2 linked regions of the Cricetulus griseus genome follow. The protein of the gene in region 1 interacts with the protein of each later gene in a pairwise test. Links are inferred from orthologs where the notes say so. Each region holds a gene or a part of one and is shown in the gene's direction. Other genes may lie near its edges.

What was found. The genes of interacting proteins can lie anywhere in the genome.
Region 2: the proteins of Gfap (region 1) and Smarcb1 interact in binary tests that used the Homo sapiens proteins (3 or more experiments, as listed by UniProt). The link is inferred for Cricetulus griseus from reciprocal best matches to the Homo sapiens genes GFAP and SMARCB1.

The regions. Positions count from the first base shown.
Region 1 is NC_048600.1:115,224,438-115,233,836, forward strand, and holds Gfap (glial fibrillary acidic protein), read left to right. Parts: upstream 1-798; coding exon 799-1,253; intron 1,254-2,083; coding exon 2,084-2,144; intron 2,145-2,365; coding exon 2,366-2,461; intron 2,462-3,439; coding exon 3,440-3,601; intron 3,602-3,963; exon of another isoform or gene 3,964-4,378; coding exon 4,379-4,504; exon of another isoform or gene 4,505-4,732; coding exon 4,733-4,953; exon of another isoform or gene 4,954-5,751; coding exon 5,752-5,795; exon of another isoform or gene 5,796-6,119; coding exon 6,120-6,239; exon of another isoform or gene 6,240-7,312; coding exon 7,313-7,398; exon of another isoform or gene 7,399-7,965; coding exon 7,966-8,007; downstream 8,008-9,399.
Region 2 is NW_023276806.1:262,697,295-262,708,319, forward strand, and holds the start of Smarcb1 (SWI/SNF-related matrix-associated actin-dependent regulator of chromatin subfamily B member 1), read left to right. Parts: upstream 1-4,187; 5' UTR 4,188-4,405; coding exon 4,406-4,498; intron 4,499-7,889; coding exon 7,890-8,028; intron 8,029-9,661; coding exon 9,662-9,791; intron 9,792-11,025. Other genes in the region: Mmp11 (stromelysin-3), read left to right, coding at 1-162, 1,406-1,539.

The DNA.
Region 1 (9,399 bases):
CCTAGCATCTCACAGGCCCATGGAAAAGTGCAGAATGAGGGTAGCCCTGGCTTCTAGACGCTAAGAGCAGGGGGCAGCTCACCCAACCCAGCTCGTGCTCACCCTCTCTCTCTCTCTCTCTCTCTCTCTCTCTCTCTCTCTCTCTCTCGTGTGTGTGTGTGTGTGTGTGTGTGTGTGTGTGTGTGTGTGCGCGCGCGTGCGTGTTTGCTCACATGCTCGAGTGCACCTACACACAAATGCTTGTTCATTGCAAGATATTCCTGTGTGGGCCCATGTGCACTGAGGTTAAATGTCAGCATCAGGTATTGTTCCTCAGACACTGTTGCCTTGGTTTTCTTTGAGACATCGTTTCTCTCTGGGACCTGGAACTCACCCATTAATCAGTGAGACCCAAGGATCCTCCTGGTTTTCTTTCCCCAGCACTGGAGTTACAAGTACACATCGTCAGACCTGACCTTTTGTTTTCATTCTGTGACTAGAACTTGAGTCTTCATGCTTGACAGGCAAGCAATTTATGGGCTGTTTCCTCAGCCACTCTAGCCCTCTCTTGACCCATCTTACCAGAAAGGGGTTTTTCTTCATCACTGGTGAAGCCAAGCTGGTGTGCCCAGGGAAACCTTGACTCTAGTACAAAGACCTCAGTGGGGTGAGAGGAGCTCTCCCCGTAGCTGGGCTAGGGCCCAGCTCCACCCCCTCAGTCTATTCAGTGGGGTGCTGCCAGGAAGTCAGGGCAGAGCCAGTTCAGCCCATTCCTCCATAAAACTCTGACATCCCCAGAGCCAGCAGGGCCAGGGCAGGATGGAGCGAAGACGCATCACCTCTGCACGTCGCTCCTATGCCTCCTCCGAGACGGTGGTCAGGGGCCTGGGTCCCAGCCGCCACCTGGGTACCATCCCACGCTTCTCTTTGGCTCGAATGCCTCCTCCACTCCCTGCCAGGGTGGACTTCTCCCTGGCCGGGGCTCTCAATGCTGGCTTCAAGGAGACTCGGGCCAGTGAGCGCGCTGAGATGATGGAGCTCAACGACCGCTTTGCTAGCTACATCGAGAAGGTCCGCTTCCTGGAACAGCAAAACAAAGCACTGGCAGCTGAGCTGAACCAGCTTCGTGCCAAGGAGCCCACCAAACTGGCGGACGTCTACCAGGCAGAGCTGCGAGAGCTGCGGCTGCGGCTGGACCACCTTACTGCCAACAGTGCCCGGTTGGAGGTGGAGAGGGACAATCTGGCACAGGACCTGGGCACCCTGAGGCAGAAGTGAGGAGGGGGTCAGGGAAAATGGCTAGACAGAACCGAGAGGGATGCCTATAAGGAAGGGTACTGACTCTGGCAAGGGCTCGGCGTTTCAGCTGCTGCATTTCCCCATGCCTGGGAAAGGGAGAGCTATCTTTGCTCCCTAATATGATGGGAATAGGCAGGGAGAGGCCAGAACTTCAGCGATCTGATTCCCAAAGGTCTGCTGCCAGGGAGCCTGGCACGCGGGACATCTCCACACTGGGGAAGGCTGTGTGGGCAGCGAGGGCACCAGCCAGCAGGTGCTCTGCTTTTTCATTCATTTGGCACTGTGAATCTGACGAGTGAAGGCTTATGTCCACAAGGAGGCTCTGGTCTCTGAAATAGAGAGAATGAAAGAAAGGGCAGGCCTGGGTGCAGAACCCCGATGACTGTCTGTCACCAGTTTTTGTCATAGCTGTGAAGGAGAGGTCATGATACAATCTGTCCTAAAAGGTGGAACTCTGGGGCATGGTGCTTTGCTGAGTGGTGGACATTCGTGTGCCCATATAGTGCAGGAGGTGCACTGGTGTCTGTAAAGCGTGCACATGGTGGTGGATGCGCCTGTGCGAGCATGAGCAGGTGCACCAACCCCGATAAGGCACCTCAGTAATGAGTTAAGGCAGAAACTCTTATCTGCTGCTTACTCTCTCAGCCAGGGCCTCTGTTTAGGAAGCCTCTGCTCCTTACGTCTCCTGCCACTCTGTGGGTCCTGTGAGAGTGTTTTATGACAGTCAATTCCATAGAGGTTGGGACAGGGATCTAATAAGAGTTCTTAGGAAAGCATTAAGCCCATACTGTGTCCCATATCCCAGGCTCCAAGATGAAACCAATTTGAGGCTGGAGGCTGAGAACAACCTGGCTGCCTATAGACAGGTCAGAGAGATGGGAGGGATGGGCAGCTGGGGTGGGGGTGTGTGTGTTGGGGGTAGGGCTTGGGGGTGGGGTTAATGACTGCCCACCCAGACATAGGCCCTGAACTTAACCCTTCACTGCAGTTGCCTGCTTCCCAGACCCCCACAAGGAGGGAGAAGACAAAACTGGAGGTTGTAGTGGGGTGGGCTCTGGGGTCAAAAAAGGCCCTCTCCCCACTCCAGGAGGCAGATGAAGCTACCATGGCCCGTCTGGACCTGGAGAGGAAGATTGAGTCGCTGGAGGAGGAGATACAGTTCTTGAGGAAGGTCCATGAGGAGGTGAGGCCAGGTGGAACGAGGGAGGCCAAACAAGAATCTTCAAATGAAAGAGACAGACAGATGGACAGATAGATACTTAGAGAGGGAAACAGAGAAGCCAACTGTCAGGAAGAAAGAAAATGAAAGAGAAAGAGTGAAGACAGAGAGACCAAGGGAGGTGTTTTCCAGTGTCTCCTACCCCTGGAAAATGCACACAGGCCCTCCCCCACCACCATGTTTTGAGAAGCACAAGGCCAGGTCTTTAGTTTCTTCTCCACATCAGCTCTGTGAGCCCTTCTTGTGGTCTCCTTTCATAACAGGAAGGATGTTGAATCCTAGAGAAGTTAAAAACAAAACAAAACAAAACAACCACCCCAAAGTCACACAGCCTGTCTGGTTTCACCCTCTCCCCCACTTGTCACCAGGAAGATGGGAGACAGTCATGAAAACCCCTCTGAGGACATGCCATCTCAGCATTTGGGAGGTAGAGGTAGGAAGCTCAAAGTGTTTAAGGCCAATTTCAGCTACACAGAAGATTTGAGATCAGCCTGGTCTCCATGAGACCCTGTCTCAAATACACACACACACACACACCCCTCTGTTCTCTGACCTCAGAGCCAGGATGCAGGACATATTCATGCCTGGCTCCTGAACACACAGCCCTGGGAGGAAGACGCCCTCAGATTCTCATTCCATACCCATTAGGGTTTTTATTTCTACTTTTTAACAGGGTCTCACTGTGTAGCCTTGGCTTGCCTGGAACATTCTATGTAGAGCAGACTGGCTTCAAAATCATAGAGGACTGCCTGCTCCAGCCTCTCACATGCTAGGGTTAAAGGTTAAATGGCACATGCCCATTAGCTTAGGCTATGCACTTCCTCCAGTAAAGGCTGCCCCATTTCCCTGAGCCAGTGACATATCTGGGCAGGCAAAAGTGTGATGCTGGGAGAGCCCCAGCTGTAGCCTGGGCCTGAGATACCCCTTCTTTTACCCTATTAGGAAGTTCGAGAACTCCGGGAGCAGCTGGCCCAACAGCAGGTCCACGTGGAGATGGATGTGGCCAAGCCAGACCTCACAGCGGCCCTGAGAGAGATTCGAACTCAATACGAGGCAGTGGCCACCAGTAACATGCAAGAGACAGAGGAGTGGTATCGGTCCAAGGTACCCGTGGGCTAGCCTGCCTCTTCCAGGCAGCCCTTCCTGATCCACACTGGGGAATAGGGAAGGAGGCTTGGAAAATAACCTATCTAGGTGACCAGCTTGCTCAGAGAAGTGAGATGGCTTGCCCAGGACCACACAGGCATTACGACTTCCCAAACTACTCATTGTTATTGCTACTACTATTTTTAACCAGCAAGGTTAAAGGTTAACTAGTTTGCACAATGTCACACAGCTCCTAAGTGAACAAGGGATAAAGTTTCTAATCCTAACCCATCTCATTTGAGAGCCTGCCTTTTTGATGCCTCTGCCAGTCTGTGTCCTGTGTTCCTGAACGTCTACTGTGTGCCGGGTACTCCCCAAGATACAGAGAAACATTTATTTGGTCAAGGAGATATCAGAGTTTATACAGACTGGGAAACAGGGGCTTGTGCTAAACAGGCAGCTTAGAGACTCAAGAGAAGAGGGAAGGGCGTCTCAAGTAGAGAACAGGCGTTGTGAGGAGGCCTGAGACAGAAAAGCAGAGACTGGAGGTGTTGCTGGCCAGGGCACAGAGTCCAGTTTGAGCCGCAGAAGCCAGTGACAGCCTGAACATGTTGAAGGCCTGATAAATCCTTCGGTTACAGTTGCTGCACCTGGGAGAGACCTGAGGTCGACCCCACTTTTCTGATTTTCCAGAGACCGTGTCTATCCCCCATCCCAGGCAGCAACCTGGTTTGTGCACTGTGCCGATGGGAGGCTCCAGCCCTCCCTTCGACTTCAGTTCCTCTTTCGATTTAGTTTGCAGACCTCACAGATGCTGCTTCCCGCAACGCAGAGCTGCTCCGCCAGGCTAAGCACGAGGCTAATGACTATCGCCGCCAACTGCAGGCCTTGACCTGCGACCTGGAGTCCTTGCGCGGCACGGTGAGCACAGGCAGGGACCACTGGTCGGATGGGGGCAGCCGTCACCCAAGATGTTGCTGGAAGGGGACCGGGCGGGGGGGGGTTGGGAGGGTTGAGGGTAGATGAAGAGTGGTAAAGGGAGGAAGGAATCTGAAAAGTTGGAGGTGGGTAGGGGGCTGAGGCTGAGGGTGGGGCCTCAAAGCCCCTTGGAATCACCGGACCAAGTGATCAGTCGGTTCCATCCGGCAGAATGAGTCCCTAGAGAGGCAAATGCGTGAACAGGACGAGCGCCACGCGCGGGAGTCGGCAAGTTACCAGGAGGCGCTCGCCCGGCTGGAGGAGGAGGGCCAAAGCCTCAAAGAGGAGATGGCTCGCCACCTGCAGGAATACCAGGATCTACTCAACGTCAAGCTAGCACTGGACATCGAGATTGCCACCTACAGGAAATTGCTAGAGGGCGAGGAAAACCGGTGAGCTCATCTCCTTAGAGCTGTTTTTTCTCCTTAGAATTCCCCCTAAGGTACTCCAGTAGCCTTGTATTCCTTCCACCCCCAAAGTCCAGCCTAAGGCATAATAGGTATTCAAGAAATGACTGAAGGATAGATAGATAGATAGATAGATAGATAGATAGATAGATAGATAGATAGACAGACAGACAGACAGATAGATTCATTCAACCAGTATTAAGTTCCAGGGCTGAGGACTTGAGCTATTCCCCCAAACTAAGAGGCTGACTCCCAAGGCTAGCCAACAAAGATGGGACTTCTCCCGCCCACCTGCCAAGCCTCCATGCTCCTTCCTGGAGGTATTCTGTGGGGGCAGATAATACACAAGCTCCTTGCAGATTTTTCCAGCTGCAGGAGAGTATTAGCTTCTGGGCTGAAATTTAGGTGGAGGAGGTTGGAGGTTGCTGTGTGGTTAGGGTTAGGTTCCTAGTATCCACATGACAGCTTGCAATGTTCTGTAGTAACGCTCCGGTTCCAGGGGATCCAACACCCACTTCTGCCATATATATGTAGTTCATTACTTTAATCCCAGCACTTGAGAGGAAGAGGCAGGCAGATCTCTATGAGTGTGAGGCCAGCCAACACTGCATAGAGAGACCTTTGTCTGAAAGACCTGAGGTGAGGGGAGAGAGAGACAGAGAGACAGAGGGGGAGGGATGTAGGGAATGGAACCAGGCTGGCCTGGCAAAGGACTTTGAGATTTTCATGCTGTGATCTGGGAATGTTCTGGCCTCATCACCCCCATCCCTCACTGTCTTTCAGCATCACCATCCCTGTACAAACTTTCTCCAACCTGCAGATCCGAGGTCAGTATAGTGGGGCCTTGTGGGAAAGGGTATTGAATAGCTACCTCCTCCCCCAGGCCTGTGGACTGCTCTTGGGGACTGGGGGCAAAGGAATCCAAGTTCTCCTTGGGAGCCTTTAAGACCTTCCACTAATCCTACGTAGAGCACAGCATCCTAGGGCTTATAGCTGTCCCTGTCTCACTCTGCCCTATGCCCCCAACCCCTAGCTGTACCCTTGCAGAACTGGTGAGGTCTCGACTGATGCCAGGTCTGCTAGCCATGAACAAGCTCTGCCCTTCTCAATGTTTTACGTTTTGTTTTGTTTTGAACTGCTTGTCACTACAGGAGACAAAAGCACCAAAGAAGGGGAAGGCCACAAAGTCACAAGGCATCTCAAAAGGCTCACAGTACAAGTTATACCAATACAGGCTCACCAGATTGTAAACGCAGCCCCGCCAACTCTCGGTTAGATAGATGCCTGCTTTTCAGCTGTGTGTTATCCCAGCTAGACAGGGAGAGAGCATCATCAAGCCTATTTCCCCACTCCTCTTGGCCTCCTCTAAAGGACAGGGACCTTTCTCCAGAAGCTTCAGTCCCAAGCCCGTCCTGGCTATGTGTGATTAGGTTATACCAACAGAGCTAGCCTATGTTAAAGGGGACTTGTCCCTGGGAGTAAATGTTCCTGCTGAGCAAATGCCAGCCTCTGCCTCACCTCTTTGCTGTCACTAGGTGGTCCCCTTGGGTCTTGCAGTGCCTCTGGGCAGGCTCTGTGTTTGATTCATGGGTCCCCAAGGCTCTGTTGTTTCACTCAATGCTGACTCAGCCCAGAGGATTAGCTCCCTCTGGACTGCTGCTCTTGTAGTGAATAAAGTTTTATGTTCCCTGCTCTTCATTTTAAATATTACTGAGTGTGACATGTTCTATTTTCCTCTCTAAGGGGGATGGACCAAATTACTTTTTACTGGTATGTGGCCCTTAAGTGATTCTTAGATGCAGGGAGGAAATTTCACGTAGGAATATTGGCCATACATATTTCAAGATGTAATTCAGCATTAGAAAGTTAATTATGCTGACCAGGTAAAAGTAATAGTGCCAAATTCTAGACAGTCAAGGGCCACTAGAGTCCAGATAAGTGACAGAAAAAGGTAAGGATGGGGAAGGGTCCCACACGTATTAATCACTAATTGTGGCACATGTTAACATGTGTTAGTCACCCCATCACCATCTCCAGGGAAGTAGGCACCGTGAGCACTTTTTGTAAGAGAGGAAACTGAGGCCTCTATCTTGATGTAGCCCTTGGTTGTCAGGAAGCCAGGTGCCAGAATAGAAGGCCGCGTGGGCTACAGGACAGCAGTAAGATGTGTCTGTGCTGGGGGGCAGTTGGGAGTCTCCAGCCACTTTGGGCAAACTGAGCCTCTCCCTACCTAGTTAGATAGCCCTGTATTCATGCCCCTGGGTGCATGATGGGAAGCTGGATACAGGACAGGCTGTTTAGTGCCCCAAGAGCCCACTGAGGCCTCCTCTCCTCGCACCTGCAGAAACCAGCTTGGACACCAAGTCCGTCTCAGAAGGGCACCTCAAGAGGAACATCGTGGTGAAGACGGTGGAGATGCGGGACGGTGAGGTGAGCAAAGGCTCTGGTTGCCCCCAGGAGTTCCTGAAGCGAGACTGCAGAAAGCCTGGGACTAGCTCACAGAAGGTCCCTATTAACTAACTACCGGGGCTCCCAATGGAAATTTGGAAGAAGGGATTGACCTTGAATGCAATTCTCCTTTCCCAACCCTTCCTCAGGTGGTGTGTTAAGGGCAACCCGGGTACCAAGGCCTCCTGATGGCTCAGCTCTGACTGGGACAGTTAGGGAAAGAAAAGGCCTTCAAATCTTACTCAAAGGAGCTTTCCAGAGAGGAATGGGAACAGGAGATAGACACAGCATGCATGGCCTTCTCTATTTGTTGGGGTGGCAACAGAGATAGCTTCTCCTGTGCCATAGTGTCAGGCATGGTGTTAGATGCTTTACAAGTGGCATTTCACACCCCAATTGGACCTCAGCATGATGCAATTACAATGACAGTCAAGGGAGGACAGGTCAGGATAGTTGGGAGCTTGCCTCAGGATGCACAGCCTAGCATGGTGGGTCTGGGAGCTATGTCACCCCTAACTGTGCACTGTGCACCTTCCCTGTCCCCTGCAGGTCATTAAGGAGTCCAAGCAAGAGCACAAGGATGTGATGTGAGGTGTGCCCACCTGGTGGCCCCTGCCAGACAGTGTGAAGGGCCCAGAGCTCCCCCTCAGATAGCCCTGTTCCCTTCAACATCAGCATTCCCCTTCCCTCTGTTTTTATGCCTGTCTGCTGCCCGGGGCTCAGTCCTTACTGCTGACAGATGGTACATACTCTGTGCCTCCAACTAACAGGATACTCACCCCAAAGGGGCAGTCAGGAGGGGAGGGGCCAGCAGCTGGGTTAGAATTGGAAGGAAAGAGGAAAGTTGGGCAGAGCAGGGAGCCTTAACAAATCATTTCCTTCATCCTTGTTGTTATGGAAACTGTGGCCAGAGCTGATGGTCTCTGGGAATTGGACTTTGAGTTTCCACTAGCTGCTGAAGGAAGACAGAAAGTCGGACAGAAAGGGGAGGTCCCAAGGCAAAGTAGCTCTAGCCAGAGACTTGTTTCCAGAATAGCCCTGACTGATCTAGGAGTGGGTGGGGAGACCTGCTACCTGGAATGGCCACTAAGGCAGACCTAAGAGTCATCACCTTCAGAGTGATGACTCGTGTCTCAGCCCTACTGAGTTGCCACTCAGCTCAGCAGCCTGTGAGCATGTGGAAACTTGGTTCTCAGCCCTTGGGGGGATCTATAGCATAAGTGGAGAAGGAAGTAGTACCAGGAGGGGGTAGAGGTGGGGTACCTGGCCCCTAAGTGTGGATGCAGAGAGATCAAGTCCAGGAAGGCCCCCCTACTCAGGCTGGAGGAGCACCAGCAGAGATGATTCAGACATTGGAGTTGGAAGTTGTAGGCAACCAGTTACACTTGGCTCTGGGTCCTGGGAATCAAAGAAATGACTCATTCTCCTGAAGACACTGAAACAGGAGAGAGGGACTTCTTTCCATTGGGCAGGGTAAAGCTGTGTCTCGGTTGTCAAGGTCTATTCCTGGCTGCATGGTCTGTATCCACTCAGTTCTCTGCCCCCGTGACTGCTGCTTTGTAATCCGGATGAAACTACTACCATCCTTTTGAGGCTCTCCATCCCATAATTTATAGCTGCTGTTCTCCAAGCAAGGGGCCTGTGTCCTTTTTATGCATACTCATAATATTACCTATGTTTTTAGTCATCATCCTATTTGACAATTTGGGAAACTGAGACATGAGCCTGGTAGACTGGCTCCTGTTCCAGCTGCTTAGAGACAATTTGGGACTATGCTTCCACACCAGAGCACCTTCTCTTGGGCTGGTTGGTGGGGAATTGTGCCCAGCAATGGGGCTGAAAGTGTCCACTCCATTGTCCTTTCCTCCCCTCTAAGGTCATAAAAGGAGAGTGGGGCCCCTCCTCTTCCTAGGACATTGTACCCTCTCCTCCCACTCCTTGCTGCCTCTGCTAACCTCTGCTGTCACCTTTACTCACTAAGAA
Region 2 (11,025 bases), on another chromosome or scaffold:
TGGTCTGGGGTCCTGAGAAGAACAAGATTTACTTCTTCCGAGGTGGAGACTATTGGCGTTTCCACCCCAGAACCCAGCGTGTGGACAATCCTGTGCCCCGCCGTGCCACTGACTGGCGAGGGGTACCTTCTGAGATTGACGCTGCCTTCCAGGATGCTGAGGGTGAGTTAGGGGAGAAGTAGCTGGAGGGAGGTGGGTGTAGTAGCCCTCATGCTTCTACACAGTAGTGGCTATCATCCTGTGTGACATTCCCCCACCCCCACCCCAGACTTCATGAGGCCCAGCTCATCCTCACAGGTCCTTTGTCTAGCGCCATCTCCCCTCCTGGTGGCCACCCAGTGTTATGACCCATGTTGCAAACGAGATTGAAGGCCTAGAGGTACAAGGACTTGCCCAGGTCCCTTGGCCACAGCCAGTACGTACTAAGAACAATGCTTTGGGCATAGCACCAAGTCCTTACTTGTCTCAAACAACTCTCAGAACAGCCTTCTGATGTCACAACAGCTCTGTCTGTCTGTCTGTTTGTTTGTTTGAGGCAAGGTCTTACTATGTATCCTGGACTAAACTGGGACTTGCCCTGTAGACCATGCTGGGCTTGAACTCATAGAAATCTGCCTACTGCTACCTCCACATGCTGGGATAAAGAGTGCACCACCATGTCTGGCCATAACAGCTCTTGCTGGCATAGGTTCAGAGGGTCAAACAGAAGAACGGGCAGTGAGGTCACTAACCATACCAGATAAACAATGGGAGAGCCAGGATTCCCATCAGTTACTGCTCCTAACCACTGGACCACCAGGCTTCCCCCTGCTTCTAGTGCAGGGAACTAGAGACAAGCCCAGTGCTCTCTTGCTTGCTACTCTCCTTTGCTTCTGTGCTCACTCACACTGGGACTCATTGGGAGAACTGCTTTGAGTAGCATCAAGCTCTCTACCTCTGGTATTGTTTTCTGTGGTCTGTGGGCAGGTGTGGAAGTGAAGGGGAGCTTGGTACTGGAAGTAGTACTTTCTTTCCTGATCTGAGGTTCCCAGTACCTACTGGACCAGACCCTGGGGGCAGGCAGAAGGGCTCCGTGAAGGGAAAGGAGGTTTTGGTAAGCAAGCTCTGGAGTCTGCACATTTATTTTGTTTTGAAGGCACAGGAAGTAAATAAATGTAGCCCAGGCTGGCTTCAAACTTGTTATGTAGCCAAGGATGCCCTTGAACTCTTTCTCCTCCTGCCTCTACCTCCTGAGTGCAGGGAGTACAGACATGAAAGCCACTATATCCAGCTGTGCAGATTCCAAAGAATCCAGCAGTGGCCATGGCCTGCTCACTCAGCACAACATCATTCCTCAGGCTCAGCCTGACAGGCAGGTGCAGAGCCCAGTATCTGCTTACCCAGCCTCACCTCCTTCTCTCCTCAGGCTATGCCTACTTCCTGCGTGGCCATCTCTACTGGAAGTTTGACCCTGTGAAGGTGAAGGTTTTGGAGGGCTTTCCTCGCCTTATAGGCCCTGACTTCTTTGACTGTGCAGAACCCGCCAATACATTCCGTTGACAACACTTTGGACATACTCAGGGCTACTGACCCCCTGCCAGGTCACTTATATCATTAAAGAGACCCACAGCCACCATCTTTGTGGCTTCAGGCATGGGACAGACAGAGCCTATGTCTCCTCAGGGGAGTGGGTTGGGTTATGGCACCATTTGCAAGGAGGGCCATGCTGGTCATGGTCACCTGTCAGCGACTGCCTTAGACTGGGCAAAGGCTTTGGTGTGACTTAAAAATAAGGGCGGTCTTAGGCCAACAATATACCACTTATGTAGATTATAGTCAACCTGACTGCCCACGGCCTCATCTCTGCCCCTCAAAGCAGAACCTCTCCAAATGAATGTGGGGACCACAGTGTCTTCATTTTTATAAGGAGGCTCTTGTGGGTAGTGGTGGTAGTGATGAAATCCCCAGGGTACCATTCTGCCCCAGCCAATCAGCTGGGCCTCAGGGCAGTATCTTTCCTAATAAGTCAGCTCTGGGGAGATGCTGGACCGATAGACTTCTGGCAGGTGAATCAGAGATAGATTTCCCAGCCAAAAGGTACACAGCCAGCCAGCCAGCCAGCCAGGGAGGCAGCTGCTTCTGCTTCCTCTGGGAGACACTGAACCTCAGAGGTCCCACATACCTCAGAGCCTTGTCCCGGGCCATTTCTTCCTGGTGGGGGCGCTCTTCCTAGCACAGGTACCTTCCAAAGCCATATAAATGTGTATACAGTGTATAAAGCCTTTTTTTTTTTTTTAAAAAAAAGCTGAGACTGTCATTAAACGTGAGTGTTTTCTAAGCGTCTGTCTGGTTTATCTTTGCAATTGCAGTCAGGATTTGGGAGCTAGAGTCAAACCCTTCACCACCTAAGACTGTTTCCTGGTGCTAGGACCAATGTTTAAGGTTTCTCCTACTCCATTAATGCACAAGTAGAGAGGGGCACCTCCAGTGGCTTTTAAACTGGTTGCCTGTGTCCTCATCTGCTCCTGATACCCTCCCAAAGCAGGTCATTTGATACAATCATGTCTAAACTACCCCTTCCTTGGGGTGGGGGGGCAGGTATGGTCTCATAGATCCCTGGCTGTCCTAGAACTCAGAGATCTGCCTGCTTATGACTTTGGGGTTCTGGGGTGTTAGGATTAAAAGTGTAAGCCTCCATGCCTGGCCCGTAACTTAAAACTCTGGTTCCCACTGCTGTGAGAACAGTGAACAAAACTCACGGTTGCCACGGCCCTTCCTAGCTCTTAGCATCTCCTTCATAATGACTCTGACACCACTGCAATCTCATTAGACAGACTCTCATGAAATAGTCACCGGGGTCACTAACTGGCCACTGGTTTTCAACTTTCATAGAAGTGTATGTTTTGCACATTCCCCCATGACCCCAACCTCTCCTTAACTCTCCTCCAGCTCCTGATAGTTCCTTTGCTCACCTACACAATGTCACTTTTACTTTTATGTTCTGTGTATTTGTGTTTTTGTTTGTTTTGGTTTTTCGAGACAGGGTTTCTCTGTGTAGCTTTGGAGCCTGTCCTGGCACTCGCTCCGGAGACCAGACTGGCCTCGAACTCACAGAGATCCACCTGCCTCTGCCTCCCGAGTGCTGGGATTAAAGGCGTGTGCCACCAACGCTCTGCTCATGTTCAGTGCAATACATAATTTATGTATCTATAAAAAAATCTAGAAACCACAAATGAGAGAAAACACATTTATCTTTCTGAGATTGGCTTAATTTGTTTAATGTGATTATCTCCAGGTGCATCCATTTTTCTTCAGTTAATATTATTTCGTTTTGTAGCTAAAAAAAAAAAATCCATTGTGTACACAACACATTTCACTTTCTTTTTTTTTTTTCCTTTTTTGTTTGTTTTCTGAGACAGTGTGTGTCTACATAGCCCTGGATGTCCTTGAGCTCACTCTGGAGATCAGGCTGGCCTCTAACGCACACAAATCCACCTGCCTCTGCCTCCCGGGGGGCTGGAACTAAAAGGCCTGCGCCCCCAAACCTGGCCTATTATACCTCATTTTCTTTATCCGCTCTTCTATTGCTGAATAGCTACCTGGGCGGGGGCTTTAACTTAGCTCTGGCAACAGCGCTACAATAAACATTACTCAAACATTTTTGAGACAACAGATTCAGGGCTGCTTGGGCGTTTTCCCGCGGCACTGTCTTCCCTCAGGGCTGGTAAGGCAGGCCCCAGGGGCAGAGGCTCGGCGCAGGGCTGAAGAGCTAAGGGAAGAACGCAAGCGGTCCTTCCCGTCCACTTGGCACAAGGCACCGACCCCCTTCCAGGACGGTCATGCTTCCCGTCCCTATTTGGGCCTGCAGCGGAGACAGCCGTTCCTAGAGCACTTCCGGGGGAGAACCTGAGGCGCCAGCCTGGGGTCGCCAGGAGCGGTCCTCCTCCTCCCCGCGTACCCCCGGGCCGAGTGCCAGCCCTGGCTGTGCGACTAGGAGGGTCACCGCCCGAGTCGGGGCCTGGGTGGCTATTTATGTCCCTGAGAAGTCTCCCTTCATCACAGACAAGGGAGGCCGCTCCCACACCCCCGCTTCCCGTCCCCCGGGAGCGAAAAGCGCTCGGGTTCCTTTAAGGGCCCGCGGGAACGCGCTCGGCCTTGTGTCGCGCAGGTGGCGGCGCGCACGTTGGCGTCCCCCCCCCCGTACCGCGCATGCGCACGGAGGGTGGCCTGCTCGTTTGCACGGCCGCTAAAGGAGCCCAGTAGTGGCACGAGCGCCCGCCCGCCCGCTCTCCCGCCCGCTTGGCTTGCCCTGCCCGACCTTCCACCTCCCGGCCTCCGTTCCCTTCGGCCCAACGCACCTCGGCCCCGCCCCAGCCCACCGGATTCTTTCCAGCTCGACCCCGGCTGCCCGTTTTCCCCCGCCGCCATGATGATGATGGCGCTGAGCAAGACCTTCGGGCAGAAGCCCGTCAAGTTCCAGCTGGAGGACGACGGAGAGTTCTACATGATCGGCTCCGAGGTAGCCCGCGGCGCGTTGTCTCGGCTTCCCGGCAGGGCAGCGGCTCGCCGGCTCGAGCCCGCGGCGGGCCTGCGTCCCCCGAGTGCGCGCCTCCATTCATCGCGGAGGCGCGGGCGGCGGGCGCGTGCTCGCGTTTGGGGCGTGGCCTGGTGGGCGTGGCCGGGCCCCGAGCCTCCTGGACCCTCTGGGTTTGCTTTTCTTCTTCACCCTTGTTCTCTCGGCCCCAGCTCAGGGCGTCCAGCCGGTGCACCCCCGGGCTGATGCGAAAAGGATGTTAGGAAAGCCCCCCGGGCGCTCGGAGGTGGAGGTGCAGTCGTGCTCCTGGAACCCTGGGCAGCTGTCGTGCACCCCACCGCCAGGGTCTTGAAATCTCTGGTTGCACGAGGTTTAGGGAAGGCCTCCTCCTCCCCCCCTCCGCTTTGTTTCCTCGCCTCTGAAGTGGGATGCGGAAGCGTTATGATGCTCATTATCTGTAGAAAGTGCTAGGAGAGAAGGGGCGTTTGCTTTTGGGTGGACGAGGGCCCGAGTACCAACACTTTAGATATCTGATTTTGAGTTTTTGTAGGGAATAAAAATCTGAAGGATAGCTAATCCATAACTAGAAGAGACAGCCTCTGTTGAATCAGATAAACGAGTTTTCTTAGGAAAACCCTACAATTGGTCCTTCGGACCAGCCAAGTTGTATAAAGGTGTTTTGGGTTGTTTTTTGTTTTGTTTTCAGATCGAATCAAACTAGCCTTCCATCTAAGGGCAAACCAGCAACTATTTATGGTCATCCTCCCTGCCCCCCCCCCCCATTTTTGAGACAAGATCTTGTAGTGTAACCCTGGTTAGCCTTGAACTCATAAAAATCCACCTGACCTCTGACTCCCAAGTTCTGGGATCAATAATGGCATGTGTACCACACCAGGTTTATGTGCCTCTTTTTCAAAAGACGAAAGAAAGAAAAGGTATGGGTGGCCAGGCAGTGGAGTGCACCTTTAATCTGAGCACTCAGGAGGTAGAGAGTACGTTTGAGTTCAGCCTTACCTACATAGTGTGACCCCATCTCAAAAGAAAAAAAGAGATATGGGCATGAAATTCAGATGTGTGGATGTCAGTCAGTAAGGAGGTAAGTGCTCTCCACACTGGAGAGCTAAAGTTTCCCTGGCCGCCATGTTCAATGTCATAGACTCCATTTCATTAGTGTGTGGTTGGCTTTTGGTTGTGTGCTAGGTTTTTATTTTGTTTCTGACAGCTTAGTGCTGCATGATGAATAAAACCATAGTAGACCGAGGCTTTCAGGACACTTCATGATTCTTGACGTAGCTGTACCAGGTAATGGGGCCAATGTTGTCAGAAGCATCAGGACTTAGGGGTTCCCATTTTCACTAAACAAAAAGTAGGAACTGCCATGACATGTTTGCAGCATCCCTTCGGTGCTGCTGTTCCACAGTGGCTGTGCTGGGGACTTGTAGTCAGTGCCTGGGCATCTCCCACAGCTGGGAATGGTCCTTGTTGGCCAATAGGCATCTGCTCAAATGCAGGTTATGTAAAGCAATTGAGTTTCAACATTCCATGTAGAATAACTTGTTGAAAGAAATGTTTACCTGACCTAACATATGAAAGGGTAAATCTGGCCTTAACTCTAAGTCGGTGGTGGTAGTTTTGAAAAGAAGATTCTCATCTGGTGGAGCAATTAAAAGATAGCAGGTTAGGTGGGAAAAACCCCCAGGAGGCTAAGTGACAGCTTGCTTTTCCTCCTACCCTCTCCTTCTTCCCTCTCCCTTCCCCAACTTTTTTCTGGTGCTAGAAATTGAACCTAGAGCATTGTGCTAAACACACAGCTCCTCCATTGAACTCTGTGCCTGTCTGGTTCCATTTTTCTCATGTATATGAGATGCTTAAACTGGACATGCATGGTTTTTTGAGGTCATCGTTGTAGCATGTTTTAGGTTTTACAAAGCTAAACTGCCTTCTTTCTGTTTACTCTTGGCCCTCCCAGTTGAATGAGAATAATTCCCCCAGTACCAAAATGGACTTTGGGGCCTGGCTCTGGTTTGGGGAAGAACTCGAGGTCGTGGGGAGGGCATCAGCAGTGGTTCTATCATGTGCCACACGAGTCACTAAACTTTGAAGAAATGAATACCCAAATCCAACATCTTTATTTTGTTTTCCAGAGAGGGCAAAGACTGACTTAGGAAAAGTCAAGCCAGCAGGCCCTAGTGTGCTAAGCTCTGCAGGGACCTCAGGAAGGCTCTGTGGTACAGATACCCTGCAGGACCCTCACAGTAGTCCTAGAGGACAACAATGCTGACTTTTCCTTTGGATGGTTCCTTTGGATGGTTACGACCTACAAACCAAATAGCAACAAGGAGTCTTTTCTGTCTGTGTACAGACTGTTCAGCTCTTGGGCTCAGCAGCTCTGGCTGTTGTTAGTCTCTTCTGGAAGAAAAGTAGAGAGATGACTTCCTCTTAATAAACATACGCTATGATAGGTAGAGAAGGTGAAAAAATAACACAAGTGATCCTCTCTAGAGCAGAATTCAGATTGGAGGGCCTGGCGTCACCTTTAATCCCAGCACTTGGGAAGCAGGGGCAGGCCCATCCCAGTGAGTTCAAGGCCAGCCTAGTGTACATAACCAGTTACAGGCTAGCCAAGGCTACATAGGTAAAGAGGCCTAGATTTGCAGCTGGAGCCAGCACCTTGCACCGTGTCCCCTGGTTGTCCCCACTGTGTGACACTGCAGACATCATTTCTGAAGTCAGTGAGGCCATGGATCTTTATAAAAATCATAGGACTAGCTTTTCATGAAGGGTGTCCTTAAGTGTTGCTACAAGCAAACTAAGCTATTACTCGGGGGAAGTAGTGATTTCTAAGATAGTCCAGGGATTACTAATATAGGGCTTTTTAGACTTGAGAAAATTCTTTTGGTGTCTCTGGTTTGAGTTTTGTTACTAAATAAAGCAACACAGGCAGCGGGACAAATTATCTTGCATCTGTCTAAAATTAAAGACATTTTGGTGTTTATTGCCTTGTAAAAATATCAAAGTCTGCTTCTTAAGATGAAAGGAGGTCACAGGAGTCTCAGATTTCAGAAAAGTGCCAAGAAATCTTTCGTCCTGATCGACATCACAAGCTCCTTACTGAGGTCTGGGATCCTCCCCAATAGACATCTGGTCAGATCTTTTGGAACTTGGTTCTGATGTCAGGATACACAGATTCCAGCCAGATGTGCACTGCTGTTGAACCCTTGATGTCAGCAAAATGTGTTTTATGGCTGCTGACAGGCTGGCGTCTGGAGGCCTTGTATCTCATGTACTTGATCCAGCAAATCCTCTCTGCCAGAGCCCTTCGGCATAGTGATCGATGGTCTGACCCTCATAATGAGCCTTCTTGCTTTACTCATAGGTGGGAAACTACCTCCGTATGTTCCGAGGTTCTCTGTACAAGAGATATCCCTCACTCTGGAGGCGACTAGCCACTGTGGAAGAGAGGAAGAAAATAGTTGCATCGTCACATGGTAAAAAAACAAAACCTAACACTAAGGGTGCGTCTTCACGAGGGTTTGTAAACCTGTTTCAAAACCACTCGCTTATGTCATGAAGATAAAACGTTTTCACTCCAGTGTCTTCATTGCAGCCTGACCTTAGTTCGGTAGGGAGCATCCCAGGGGCAGGCCACCCTGCCAGCGCACACATGGTTCAGTTGAGAGTAGCTCAGCGAGTCTTTGGTGCTCCACTGTTGTGTGTTCCTGGCTGGGCCAGTGGGTATGTGAGGGGCCAGGGCCAGGGCCAGGGTAGTAGCAGGTGCTGTGAAGACATGTTGGTCTCAAAACGTTTTAGGAATGCTGTGATTTGCTACCATTTGCTGTGAGTGTGTTGCCGTAGTCGTCCTTCTTGCAGCCCTAGTAGCAGACGGTGGCCCCAGCCCTCACTTTCTTCTGGGGCTTTCACCGCTTCCCTCCCAGAGCACATTTATCTCATAATACTTCATCTTGGCAACCAGTATGCTAAGCTCATGTGCATGTACCCATTCCACGTGGCCTGCCCTGTGCCTGGGGCTTGCTAGGTGAGCCACCTGGTGCTAGTGAAACTAGTGCAAGGTCTGGGCTGTGGCAACTCTGTGCAGAGTGAAGATGCTCTTCATACATTTTGGGGCCTCTAGGAAGAACATTTGGGTATGGGCGCAACATGCCATTTGGCCGGTGGCAAAACTGCTTTCCACTCAGCAGAGGCACCCTGTAGAGAGCTGCCCTGGGCCTGGGTGCATGTGTCCGTGCATGCATGCGTGCTCATGAGCACTCTGTAGTCTGTCTTGTCAGTAGGTGCTAATGTGCTAATGTAGTTGTCTGTTGTGGTGTATTGGGGTTCTTTTAATGCAGGAGCCAGAGCTGCTTTTTATCCACTTCTGAAAGAATCCACTATTGCCTGAAACAGTTTCCTTTGTGTCCCCTCTGCCAAAAGTGGAATATAGTCACTAGCATGGTGGCTACCTAGCTTTGCCTGCCCTTCCTTGAGTTCCCATGAAGCCTTAGTGGTCTTGCTACCATGTGCCTTCCTTTCCTATAACCAAGTGAGTCCTCCAGCAAAGCTAAGCAGGTCCTGCAGATAAGTAGCAGCGCTTGACAGAGGTTCCCTAGAACTGGGCGGGGAGGGGGGGGGAGGCATATCACGTGGTGTGAAGTTCTGTCTTGTTTTCCAGACAACCACATCTGGCCTGACTCAGGGATGGTAACTTTTGCTTGGTGTGAAATAGTTCTTTCCAACTCTCTGGGCTCTTGTTTTAAAAGAAGAGGATTCATCTTTCATTCTGTCTCCCATCTTGCTTTGTGTTTTAGATTGTGGTGGTGTCAGACCTCTTCCCACTGGGGTGTTACTCTGAAGCCTTCCTGGCAGCCCCTAAGCTGCAGCTACCCCCAAACATGTCTGCCCCAGAGCTAGTGCTCTTAAGAGGCAAATTCGTCCAAATCCATCCCACCAGAGGCTTTCTCCACTGAGATGTCTAGGTAAAGCCTCAGTCCGGATTGCCCTTTTGGAAGAGGCTAGCACTCAGCAGTACTGAGTTTGACACCTTGCTTTCCCCACCTCCTGCATGTGAGGACCTCGTGTGCTGTATCAAGTTGGTTGTCAGCTTGTTCACACTGCTGCAGGATGACCACAGTGGGGTTTCTCTGCTTACAGATCATGGGTACACCACCCTCGCCACCAGCGTGACGCTACTGAAAGCCTCGGAGGTAGAAGAGATTCTGGATGGCAACGATGAGAAATACAAGGCTGTGTCCATCAGCACAGAGCCCCCCACCTACCTCAGGTATGCCTTCCTAATCTCAGTTTGCTCCAGAGACATGTGGGGGTATGTGTGTGTGGGGGTCTCATCCTGAAGAACAGGGTAAAGTGAAAGTTGCTCACTCACTATGTTTATAATTGCCTGACCTTGGTTTCTAAGTTTCTTCTGTATCTTTGACATTCTTAACAAACATAGGCCAAGTCTTGAGTTCTGGAATGTTCTGAATCTGGGACTCATTTGCCCCCCCCCAAAAAAAATTGTGACTCAGATAAACTTCCAAAAGAAACAATAGATTTGAATACACACAGGTAGAACTTTGAAAAAACCTTTTCCTTCTTTCTTTTTTGAGACAGTTCTCATGTGGCCCAGGCTGGTCTTAAAATTTGCGGTGTAGCTAAGTATGGTGTTAAAGTTAGAATCCTCCTGCCTCTACCTCCTCGATGCTTTGATTACAAGTGTGTGCCATCATGCCTAATTATAATAGTGCTGGGGATGGTACCCAGGACTTTGTGCACACGAGCAGCGCTCTACCAACTGAACCATCTCCTCCTCAGGTCCAAACAGGTGTTTTTGGTTTTCTTTTCTTTTTTTTTTTTTTTTTTTTTTGATCAGGGTTTTTCTGTGGCCCTGGCTGTCCTAGAACTCACTCTGTAGAGCAGGCTGGCCTTGAACTCACTGGTGCTAGGATTGAAGGTGTGCATCATCACCACCCAGTCAAGACAGGGTTTCTCTATGTAGCCCTGGCTGTCCTGGAGCTCACTCTGTAGACCTTCCTGGCCTCGAGCTCAGATGTCTGCCTGCCTCTGCCGCTGGAGTTGTCTTTTAAAAATAACTTTTAAAAGTTGTATTATTGTAGGCTGGAGAGATTGCACGTGTGTGACATGCCATGCGTGTGGAGGTCAGGGGACAGCTTTGTAGAATCAGTGCCCTCCATGTTTTACATGTGTTCAGATCACCACACTCGCAGAGCAAGTGCCTGTGCCCAGTGGGCCATCTTCCCATCCTAGACTGGAACCTTTAGGAAAGTAATTGTGGTGACAAAAAGGCAAGTCCATCTTCCCATCCTAGACTGGAACCTTTAGGAAAGTAATTGTGGTGACAAAAAGGCAAGTAATTACATTTTCACTGTGTTGTATGTAGTGTCTACACATCTGGACGTAAAAGTAAACTGAAGACTCTAATAGATTTGGTGAGTGAGTGGTGGTGCTAGAGGTTTGAACCCACGGCTCCATGAGCTTGTGTCCACCACTGAGCTACG